Linked DNA regions of Mus musculus. The protein of the gene in region 2 purifies or fractionates together with the protein of the main gene of each other region. This does not show direct contact. Links are inferred from orthologs where the notes say so. Each region holds a gene or a part of one and is shown on either strand. Other genes may lie near its edges. The genes, in order: Nasp, Asf1b and Cdan1.

Region 1 (3,654 bases), on a different chromosome or scaffold from region 2:
TAAAAGATTTAGTAGGAGAAATTAAATCAAGAGCAGTCAAGCTGGAGAGAAAGTTGAGAGTTTTAAAAAAGCTGCTGCTGCTCTGGCAGAGAAACTGGGTTTGATTTCAAGTACTCACATACTTGACAACTCACAATTTACTACCAAAGGTATCCCAATACTCAATCATGGATTCCATAGGCACTTGGCACACATATGGCATATGTACATACTTTCAGGAGACATATTCATACATATAAAAAATTAAAAAATAAAAACCAAACTGAAGCCAGGCGTGGTGTCGCATGCCTTTAATCCCAGCACTCGGGAGGCAGAGGCAGGCGGATTTCTGAGTTCTAGGCCAGCCTGGTCTACAAAGTGAGTTCCAGGACAGCCAGGGCTACACAGAGAAATCCTGTCTCAAAAAAACCAAAACAAACAAAAACAAACAAACAAACAAAAAACCAAACTGATATCCCAGTAGAATAAGGGAATAGCTTAATGGTAATGTACTTGCTTATCACCTAAAAGGTCTTAGAATTGAACCTAAGTAAATTTTTCATGAGTTTCTCTGTATACCTGGATGTGCTAGTACTCCCTCTGTAAACGAGGCTGACATCTGCCTCCAAAATTCTGAGATTAAAGGAGTGCCCCACCAATACTCGTCTCTGAGGCATATTTTACATAATAAAAAGTAAAAAATGAATTAGTTTTCCTCTTAATCATTAGTGACTATGATGAAAATCACCTTCTTCAAAAGTTAAATGAAATTACTTTATTATAATAAAAACTCATCCACAGAAAATAAAAAGCCAGAATTGTTTTCATGGTTCAGACAATTAGACATGGGATTTCACGTATATTAGGTAAGTATTCTACCATCATACTCCTATACCCACCCCACTTTCAATCTTCCTTCTTTCTCCCCATAGAAAACCTGTTACAAGTTTGTAAGCTATTTACTACTGTTTTACAACAGAACATATACTTACAAAAGACTAGCTGCTTCCTGGAATGCATTAACAGCTGCTGGAATGTCACCCATCACCAGATGTTTCTGTCCTAATCCCAGTAGTTTCTTAGCTTCACTATCCACATCCAGACTGAAAGAAAAAAATATATTTAGTGCCAAATACTGTTTACATCAATATTAATTGGATATATTACATTTACACCATAATAGTTAAAAAGACCTAATAAAGCCGGGCGTGGTGGCGCACACCTTTAATCCCAGCACTTGGGAGGCAGAGGCAGGCGGATTTCTGAGTTTGAGGCCAGCCTGGTCTACAAAGTGAGCTCCAGGACAGCCAGGGCTATACAGAGAAACCCTGTCTCGGGGGGAAAAAAAAAAAAAAAGACCTAATAAATTGACCAAGTAGATGCATACACCCATGATCACTGTAAAGGTAAAGGCAGGATGACTGAGAATGAGCTTCAACTACATACCAAGATACTATATGAAAAAAGAGAAGACCTGCTATGTCACATTTACTTTAAAAAAAAGAAAAAGAAAAAGAAATTAGGGCTGGCGAGATGGCTCAGTGCTCTTCCGGGTCCCGAGTTCAAATCCCAGCAACCACACACATGGTGGCTCACAACCATCCGTAACGAAATCTGATGCCCTCTTCTGGAGTATCTGAGGACAGCTACAGTGAACTTACATACAATAAATAAATCTTTAAAAAAAAATTAAAAATGCAACTTTCATAAAACCTTACAAAACATGCTATTATAAATAGATGCTAATTACACAACAAAAGAACCACCAAGGAAACCAAAAGATATACACGCTTACTAGCTAAAATTAAAAGTAAAACATATGGAAAAAATAAACAGGTAGGGTTGAGAATGGAGATATAACCGTGCTTTCCTAGCATGCACAGAGCTTTAGATCAGTCTCTAGTACCATATACACAAAACATGGTTAGTAGATAACTATAATATCCATTCTCAGATTATAGAAACAGGAGACCCTGTCTCAAAAGCAGAGAGATTATGGTGGCACAGCTTTGATCCCAGCACTTAAAAGAAATATGCAAGCAGGCTGGGCAGCAGTGGCACACACCTTTAATCCCAGCACTTGGGAGGCAAAGGCAGGCTATTTCTGTGTTCAAGGCCAGCCTGGTCTACAGAGTGAGTTCTAGGACAGCCAGGGCTATACAGAGAAACCCTGTCTCAAAAAACCAAAACCAAAACAAAAACAGTAAAGAGCCAAATATTTCTGTTTTACACACGCACGCACGCACGCACGAGTATCTCTGAAAATTCACTGACACCCAAGACTACATAGTGAGACTCTGACTCAAAAAATAAAAGGAGGAAATATGGACCTAACTCAGTTGATAGCATTTGTCTAGTATGTAAACACAGAAATCTCTGGGTTTAATCTCCAGCACTGCATAAAAGCAGGTATGGTACAACAGACCTGTGATCTCAGCAGTTGGAAGGAGGCAAAAAATTTAAAATTTTAAGGTCATCACAGGAAATACAGGGAGACTAAAACCAACCAGTGTTATATGAAACCCTCTAGAAGGAGGGGTAATACCCTAAATAAATGAGCTAGGTGTGGTGGCCTGTGCTTTTGACCCCAGAAGAGGCAAGCAGACCTCTAAGAATTCACGGCCAGACTAGTCAGCATAGTGAGTTCCAGGACAGCCAGGGCTGTTATACAGAGAAATAGGAGGCTACAGTATTAGCTCAGTGGGTAAATATCTTGTTGAACAAGCATGAGGACTGGAGGTGGATCCCTAAGACCCTCTTAAACGCAGGGTAGACCAACTTGTATTTCCAGTACTTAGAAAGTAGAGAAGGGATCCTACTCAGCAAGATCTGGGTTCAGTTGAGAGAGCTGTATTCAATAAATGATCAAAGATTCCCAATATCAACCTTGTACCTTTGACTGAACATGTGTGCACAGAACACACACACCATACAAATATACAAGCACATATACAAAGTAGGCATGCCACAAACATAAAAATAAAATTAAAAAAAAAAAAAAAAAACTAAAGCATGGTGACACACCCTTTAATCCCAGCACCGAGAAGATAGGCATAGGTCAGCATGGTCTACATGGTGTGTTCCAAGTGAGTCAGGGCTAAAATAAGGCCTTGTTCTCAGAAGGGGAAACATGGTACATGTGGAATGTGAGTGATACAGAGAGGCTAGCAACAGCTCAGTATAAGCATTGGACCTAGATTCAATTCCCAGCACCCATATGGCATCTAGTTCAAGGGGATCTAGTAACCTATTCTGGCTTCCAAGTAACACTAGGTACACAGTGCATAAATGAACATGTAGACAAAACACCTATACACATAAAATAGTAAAAAATACTAAGTAAATTTAAAAAACTGTTTCCAAGAGGTGTATGTGGTGTGACTAAGTTGAGAAAATGTCTACCTGTGGATGAATCCTTAGATTTAAAGCCTAGAATAGCATAAAACCAGTATGGTGGTATAAATCCCCAGTTACATAACAAGTTAAAGATTAATGCCAGCATTTAGTAGAAAGGAATGGGAGTGGATCTCACAAGCCACATTGACAGACCATGAACTGAAGCTAAAGGCAATCAGCCTTCCTATTTCAACTCACAGAATACAATTAAGAGCTAACATGCTTCTTACCACATTTTTTTTAAAGTCACTTCTAATATCAAAAATGATTTAATGAAAT
Region 2 (3,654 bases):
GCTTAAGTTGGATCCAAACTATGTGTACTGGGTTATAAGTATATACTGCTGTGCCCAGCCCTGGCTGATAAACAAGTAACAAGGACTCTTGATCCTTATTCTTCCTTGAGGGGAATAGTTCAATATTCATGAACTATGTTTATGGGTTTTATACAACTCCTGTGAACAGATCACAAATTAGTGGTCCAGTGGTCACTAAGAACTGTGACCCAGAGGTCCCCACTTCTGGGGAGGGGAAGGACATCTGATGAGACTGGGTGAGTTCAGAGTGGTGGTCCTTTAAAAGATAGCTTCAATCAGACAGCTCCTGGCAGTCAACTGAGACATGTGGCTCAGGCAGGCCTTGAACTTGTGGTCTTCCTGCTTCTACATCCTAAGTAGCTGGGATTACAGTAGTTTTGTCACCAGTCCAAGTTTAAGGATTTGAACTTAAACTTGACTGCCAAAACCAGTGTGCTTTCAGGTAAAAGAGGAAGGTTCTAGGCTTAGGTGTGGCTCAGTAGTGAATGTCTAGTATGTCAGGCCCTGATTCCATCTCCAGCCTGAAACATTTCTGGAAATCAAGAGCTAAAGCAAAACTTACTTACCTGAAAGACGAACATATGCCTTCCTGCAGGGACAGGGCCCACCAGCACTGAATCTAGGATCTGATCAAACTCCTCACTCTCAGCTGAGCCCACATAAATGATCTTCCACTCCAGGTCTGCAAGAACATGGGGGATAAGGGAACTGAGGTCTTAAATAGCTGGAGAGCAAGGCAAGGGTCTTCTTGTCAGCATTAGGCAAATCTGAATATACTAGAAGGTCCTATGAACTGGTGTGTTTGCTGGGCTGTCGGTTCTGGCACCACAGTCCTGATTAAGAGCAAATATGAAGATCTATTTTAATGGAGACATTTCTCCTGTGGGCCTAACTTGGCCAAGTGACCTTGACTCTGGCCCTCCCGGGAAAATTAGGCCTCTCAGTAGCCGAGAGGAACCATATAGTAGAGGCTGACTTGAGTCCTGTGACATCAGCTTGTGAGGGAACAGCAGGGAGTTGGGCTACCTTGGTCTCTGGGTAGGAAGTGCCATCTCATTCTCTTTCACAGAGGATTGGTGCCACCTAGTAGAGCAAATCCCTCGATAACTGGGGCAGGGTGGCAGATTCCAATCCAGCAGGAGAGCCAGGTGGCAGGAGGGGAAAGGCAAAGCTGTGGGGGGGGGGGGGAACCAACTTGTCCCAAAGTTGTCCACATCTGGCACCAACTCATGCCTACTTGTGCACATTGTGGGACAGAGGCTCTGCCAGCAAATGTTGTATGACAAGGCATACCTCCAAAACCTGACAATGTACTCCATCACTAAGGGACTCAGTCCTGGAGTATACCCATAAGAGATCAAAGAAAAAGTACCTGGAGACCCTTCCTATTAATCTCAGAAGAGCCCTGGTACTCATAGCCTCTTGTAGAGGGGCCAAGTGTTACCAGGAGCAAGGTCATGCTAGTACAGAGACGCTTGGCACCAGACCCAGAACTTATTTTAGGCTCTTTGAAATTACACAACCCCTAGCTCCAGCAGCTGGGAAAAGTTGCACAAGCTGAAATTTTCACAGAGAGCTCTTGGAAGCTGCCTGGCTCTTGGTCCAGTGTGGTACGGGCATCCAACACTGGAAGCACACAGATATCAGATCATACTATGGAGTTTGTCACCTGATCCATAAAGCTTTCCTTTATACGTCACGTCCACTCTCTTGTTCCTTCACAATCCCACCTACATCTTTCTAGGTAACCCCATGCCCATGGTTCATCAGGTTCAAACTCCAGCCTTAGTACTTTGGGGAAATTATTTAGTTATTTCATTTTTAAAGTTTATTTTCTTATGTGCCTTTCCTTTTATTTTATGTGTGTGGGTGTTTGCTTGCATGTGGGTCTATGTGCCCTTTGGTGCCTGTACCCACAGAGGCCAGAAGATGGTGTTGGGTCTGCTGGAACTACAGGTACTGTAGGGGGTTGGTCTAGTGCTGCTTGTATTCAAATGCTAAATTCTGTACCCAAGATCTGGTTACTCCATGATGAGCATATCTTCATGTATACCAGCCTTTGTTGTGTAAACCTTGCTCCACATGTTATCCCCGACTGGTTAATAAAGATGCCTACAGTATGTAGCTGTGCAGAAGAGAGGAAGGAGGGCCTCAGGTACTGGGCTTGGGGTCTCAGACAGGGAACATGGTGAGAGAGAAGGAAGAAGTTACCATGAGATAGGTGGATTGTAAGTGCATGACCTATTGGAGTAAGAGTGGCCAGGCAGAACATGGCAAGTTCTCAGTTATTGACAGGGAAGTAGACAAAATAACATAAAAGGTTGATATCTGCCCAGCTCTAAAATTTTTAAGCTTATTATAAAGGTAAAGGTTATTGTTTTTCATTTGAAAACTATATAGTCCAAGTGGGATAGAAATCCCCAGAATAATATTTACCACAACATTTTGGCAAACCAACATGGGGTGAGAACTTACTTATAATCCAAATTGAAATTTCAAATTTCCTGGATGAAAGGTATGTTGTCCCATTAAGATAGAAGTAGTTAATCACTATGTGGGATGGGAGCTAACCCTGGGTTCCCTAGAAGAGCAATCAGTGCTCTAACTGTGGAACAATCTTTCTAGCTGTCCCTAGCTATTTATTTCTTAGGAGTGCTGGTGATGGAACTTAAGGTATGTACATGCCAAAAAAAGTGCTATGCATCTGAGCCATGCTCCCAGACCCATAAATTTAGTTTTATAAAAAGTGACACTCTAGAATCAATGATTCTGGAAGGACAGAAAAGTATGCGACCCTTGCTTGGCCTCACTTTCTAAGATGGCTCTGTCAAGCTCTACTTTCTTCAGGCCCCTTCCCCATACTCCATGGTGCCACATATTCATACACTTAATTAATGTGTTGGAGGGAAGACTAGGCAAAAAAAGAGCTTGACACAGAAGAGTCCCTTGTGTCCCCAAGGCACCTAACATTGCTTAGTTTAGGTCAATACTGTTGGTAAAATCTATTAAAAGGAAGACTGTAGTGTACGCTGGAAGCATCTTCTTGACATGGGCCAGAAACAGACCCAAGAATTCACAAAAGACCACATAAATACTGACTGGCTACAGTCAGAGCTGATCAAATCTTCTACAGGGCCCATAAACTGCAGTCATTTAAAATTTGATGATTTTTTTCATATTTTCTTCCTTCAAAAGATAGATTGCACTGGTATATGCCTTTAATCTCAATATGTGAGACACAGCTTTAAAAAAAAAGACAGAGTTGGGTTTTAGAATTGGCTCTGAGGATTAAGGCACTTGCCACAAAATATAAAGACTCAGCACAATCATTCTCCAGAAAACACATGATGGAAGGAGAGAACTGACTCCAGCAGGTTGTCCTCTAACCTCTGCGAGCACTCGCACATACATACACATATGTAAAAACAAAGGAACAAATGACAGTCTTCCTATGTAGTGTAGGCTAGTCCAGAACTTATAACATATCTGCAAGCCTTCCAAGTATTGGAATTACAAGAGTGCACCCATGTGTGTCTCTCATTCAATCTGGAGCTTACTTTGTCAGCTAGTCTGGTAGACAGTGAACCCTTGGGATCCCCTTCATACTCCCTGGCTTCTACTTGAGTGCTGAAC
Region 3 (3,086 bases), on a different chromosome or scaffold from region 2:
CAGTCGGGTGCTCTTACCTGTTGAGCCATCTCACCAGCCCCTATACATGAAGTTTTATTGATCCATTTATTTATAATCATCTGTGGCTGTTTTTGTGCTACCAAAGCAGGGATGAATAGTTGGAGCAATATTTAGGCCTTGTGACTCCCAAGAGCTAAAATAGTATCTGGCCCTGCTCCAAACAAAGTAGTGGTCTTATAATAAAGAAATAGAGACTAGAAAACAATGCCCATAGGTGGGGACTATAGGAAGGAGGGAAAAAGGTATCAAGCTAGACTGCTTCTCAATATGCAGAGGATTTCTAGTTTGAGGTCTCAGAGGAGCATCAAAGAGGAGTATTCAGACTCTAGATAGGACATTTTCCCTTAGTATTTTAAGACACCATCTGGGAATTGGTTATGTAGTTTTATCTCAGTGAGTTTCATCTTTTGAGCTCTGTGGCAGCACACAGTCTACAGCCTTACCACTACATCTACTTCCCTCTGGATTGTCCATATAATTGCTTATCTTAGCTGTGCTGTTACTGCCTGAGCCTCAGCCATAAGAACACCTTGACCCAGTTGCTTCACCCCCTTGGGCTCTGTTTTCCTTCTGCCTCTCTCCATTGGCTGGTTCCCATCCCAAACCAAGTTTCTGGCATTCTGGCATGAAGTTTCATCACTGCTCTCTACAGGATGTGCTCTCCCTGGCGGCCGGGCCTCGGGACCCTGAGGAGGGAGTTTCCCCAGAGCATCTGGAACAGCTTCTAAACCAGATGGGCCAGTCACTGCGATGCCGCCAGGTGAGATGTGGGAAGAGCCACATTGGCTCAGGACCAATCCTCAGAGCAGTAAGAATGACGCCCATGTCTCCTTTCCCCCCATAGTTCCTGTGCCCAACTGCTGAGCAGCATCTGGCCAAGTGCTCTGTAGAGTTGGCTTCCCTTCTAGGTATGTATGGTTCCTCTTCCACCAGGTCCCTCATGCTACATTCCCCAAACCCCAAGGTTGCGTACAAGCAGGGTTAGGAGCATAGGATGTGCTCTTCTGCCTCCATTTAAAACTTCTCTTCCCTGTAGTTGCAGACCAGATCCCCATCTTAGGGCCCCCAACACAGCACAGGCTGGAGCGAGGACACGCTCGGAGGCTTCTACATATGCTGCTTTCCTTGTGGAAGGATGACTTCCAGGGGCCAGTTCCATTACAGCTTCTACTTAGCCCAAGAAATGTAGGGCTTCTGGCAGATACTAGGCCAAGAGAGGTAAGCCAGTAGTTTTTGCTGGTGGGTGGGTGGGTGAGTAGTTAGATTTATGTATATAAATGTTTTTTTCTGCATGAATGTGCACCATGTTGGATCCCCTAGAACAAGGGTGGCTATGAGCTACCATGTCAGTACTGAGAATTGATTTGCAGAGCAACAAGCAACTCTCAACCTCTGAGCCATCACTCTAGACACATACATGTGGATTTTCAAATAGGATCTCAATCTGTAGTCCATGTTGGTCTTAAATTCACAGATTTCTTCCTGCCTCTGCCTCCCCAAGTGTGGATTACAAATATGAGCCATCATGCCCAGCTCCTGCAGCCATAGTGGGAGGTAGTGTGTACTTGTCAGTGAGCATTGTTCTTACTGAACCTGAGACTCACCGATTGGCTAAACCAGTTGGCTTACAGGGTTTCCTATCTAGCCCCACCTGCACTAAGGTTACAGGTAGATACTTGTACTACATGGATCCAAGGAAGAGCTGGCCCTGGGGGTGAGAGTAAGAGAGCTGACCCTTACCCTAACCACCTACAGTACTCCAGAAAGCAGCCTTACACATCGCAAGAGTTGTGGGAGAGCCAGCCCTGTAGATATGAACATAGGAAAGCTGACCCATGCTTCTAGTCTCCCATGACACAGGCCATCATGTTTGCACATCAGAACTTTGCTGAGCAGTCAACCCCTTCATTCCCTGCAAGTCATGTTATTAACATTATCCAGTGCCCACCCCGGATTTTATAACAGCTGCTTCTTTTATTCTCTTCCTCATCCTTGCTAAAACATGCACCTTTTGTCTCAATTTCCTCCTTGGGGCACCTTTTCCTTTTCCTTTCTTTTCTGTGTTTATTTGCATTTATTTTATTTACTTTTTTATTATTTATTTTGGGGTGGGAGGTGGTTCAAGATATTGTTTCTCTGTGTAGCCGGAACTCACTGTATAGCTGGAACTCACTCTGTAGATCAGGCTGGCCTCAAACTCGAGATCTTCTTACCTCTGCCTCTGCCTCCTGAGTGTTGGAATTGCTCTTAACAGCATGTTAAGCTTTATCTCCAACCCCAGCTCCATCCTTTCAGATGTCTACTCTTGGGACTGCTATCCAGTCTTCAGTCTCTACTGTTAGGACTACTCAATGATCCTGACAACTTTTGACTTTCTCCGTGGTGTTTTACAGTGGGATCTGCTGTTGTTCTTACTCCGGGAGCTGGTAGAAAAGGATCTCATGGGACATCTGGAGATAGAAGCCTGCTTAGGCCGCCTTAATGAGGCCCAGTGGCCAGGGGTAAGGAGTCTTAATGTTAATTGCTTTGTCATACATTAATAAACCTTAGTTTACCAGTCATGGAGATTTGTATCTGCTTTTGCATAGAAGACATTAGATGAAACCGCTGGGTTATCAGTGTCTTCCTGGCTGTGAGTGCTTATTTAGGATTGACCTTGGAAAGGACAGAACATCCAGAATTACTTTTTCTCTTAACCTTTCTACTTACTTCAGGACTTCTCAGAAGAATTGTCAACACTGTTTCGCTTGTTCCTAGCTGAGCCCCATCTGCTAGAACCCCAGCTAAGAGCTTGTGAACTTATGCAACCAAACCGAGGGACAGTACTGGCCCAAAGCTAGGGCTAGGAAGCAGCCCTCTTGGGCATGTCACCAGAACCTGCCTCCTGTGCCTCAGGAGGAGCCTCAAGACCCCACTGCACGCCTTGTTGGGGCAAGAGTGTCCAGGTGTGTAACCGGGCTTGCTGCTCCTAAGTGAAGGAAGTGTGTTGCTTCAAGCATCCAGACACCGGCCCGCCTCAACACCTGAGATCTAGAGGAAGGAGAACCTGATTCAGAGTCACAGTG

Evidence for each region.
Region 1: the proteins of Asf1b (region 2) and Nasp purify together in Homo sapiens (affinity purification with mass spectrometry; 5 studies listed by BioGRID and IntAct, counting the BioPlex papers as one, with this or other methods). This does not show direct contact. The link is inferred for Mus musculus from reciprocal best matches to the Homo sapiens genes ASF1B and NASP.
Region 3: the proteins of Asf1b (region 2) and Cdan1 purify together in Homo sapiens (co-immunoprecipitation; 5 studies listed by BioGRID and IntAct, counting the BioPlex papers as one, with this or other methods). This does not show direct contact. The link is inferred for Mus musculus from reciprocal best matches to the Homo sapiens genes ASF1B and CDAN1.

The regions. Positions count from the first base shown.
Region 1 is NC_000070.6:116,617,899-116,621,552, forward strand, and holds part of Nasp (nuclear autoantigenic sperm protein), read right to left. Parts: intron 1,083-3,654; coding exon 972-1,082; intron 1-971. UniProt on the Homo sapiens protein: Component of the histone chaperone network. Binds and stabilizes histone H3-H4 not bound to chromatin to maintain a soluble reservoir and modulate degradation by chaperone-mediated autophagy.
Region 2 is NC_000074.6:83,962,080-83,965,733, reverse strand, and holds part of Asf1b (histone chaperone ASF1B), read right to left. Parts: intron 704-3,654; coding exon 588-703; intron 1-587. UniProt on the Homo sapiens protein: Histone chaperone that facilitates histone deposition and histone exchange and removal during nucleosome assembly and disassembly. Cooperates with chromatin assembly factor 1 (CAF-1) to promote replication-dependent chromatin assembly.
Region 3 is NC_000068.7:120,718,577-120,721,662, reverse strand, and holds part of Cdan1 (codanin-1), read left to right. Parts: intron 1-652; coding exon 653-781; intron 782-865; coding exon 866-929; intron 930-1,057; coding exon 1,058-1,239; intron 1,240-2,414; coding exon 2,415-2,522; intron 2,523-2,735; coding exon 2,736-2,861; 3' UTR 2,862-3,086. UniProt on the Homo sapiens protein: May act as a negative regulator of ASF1 in chromatin assembly.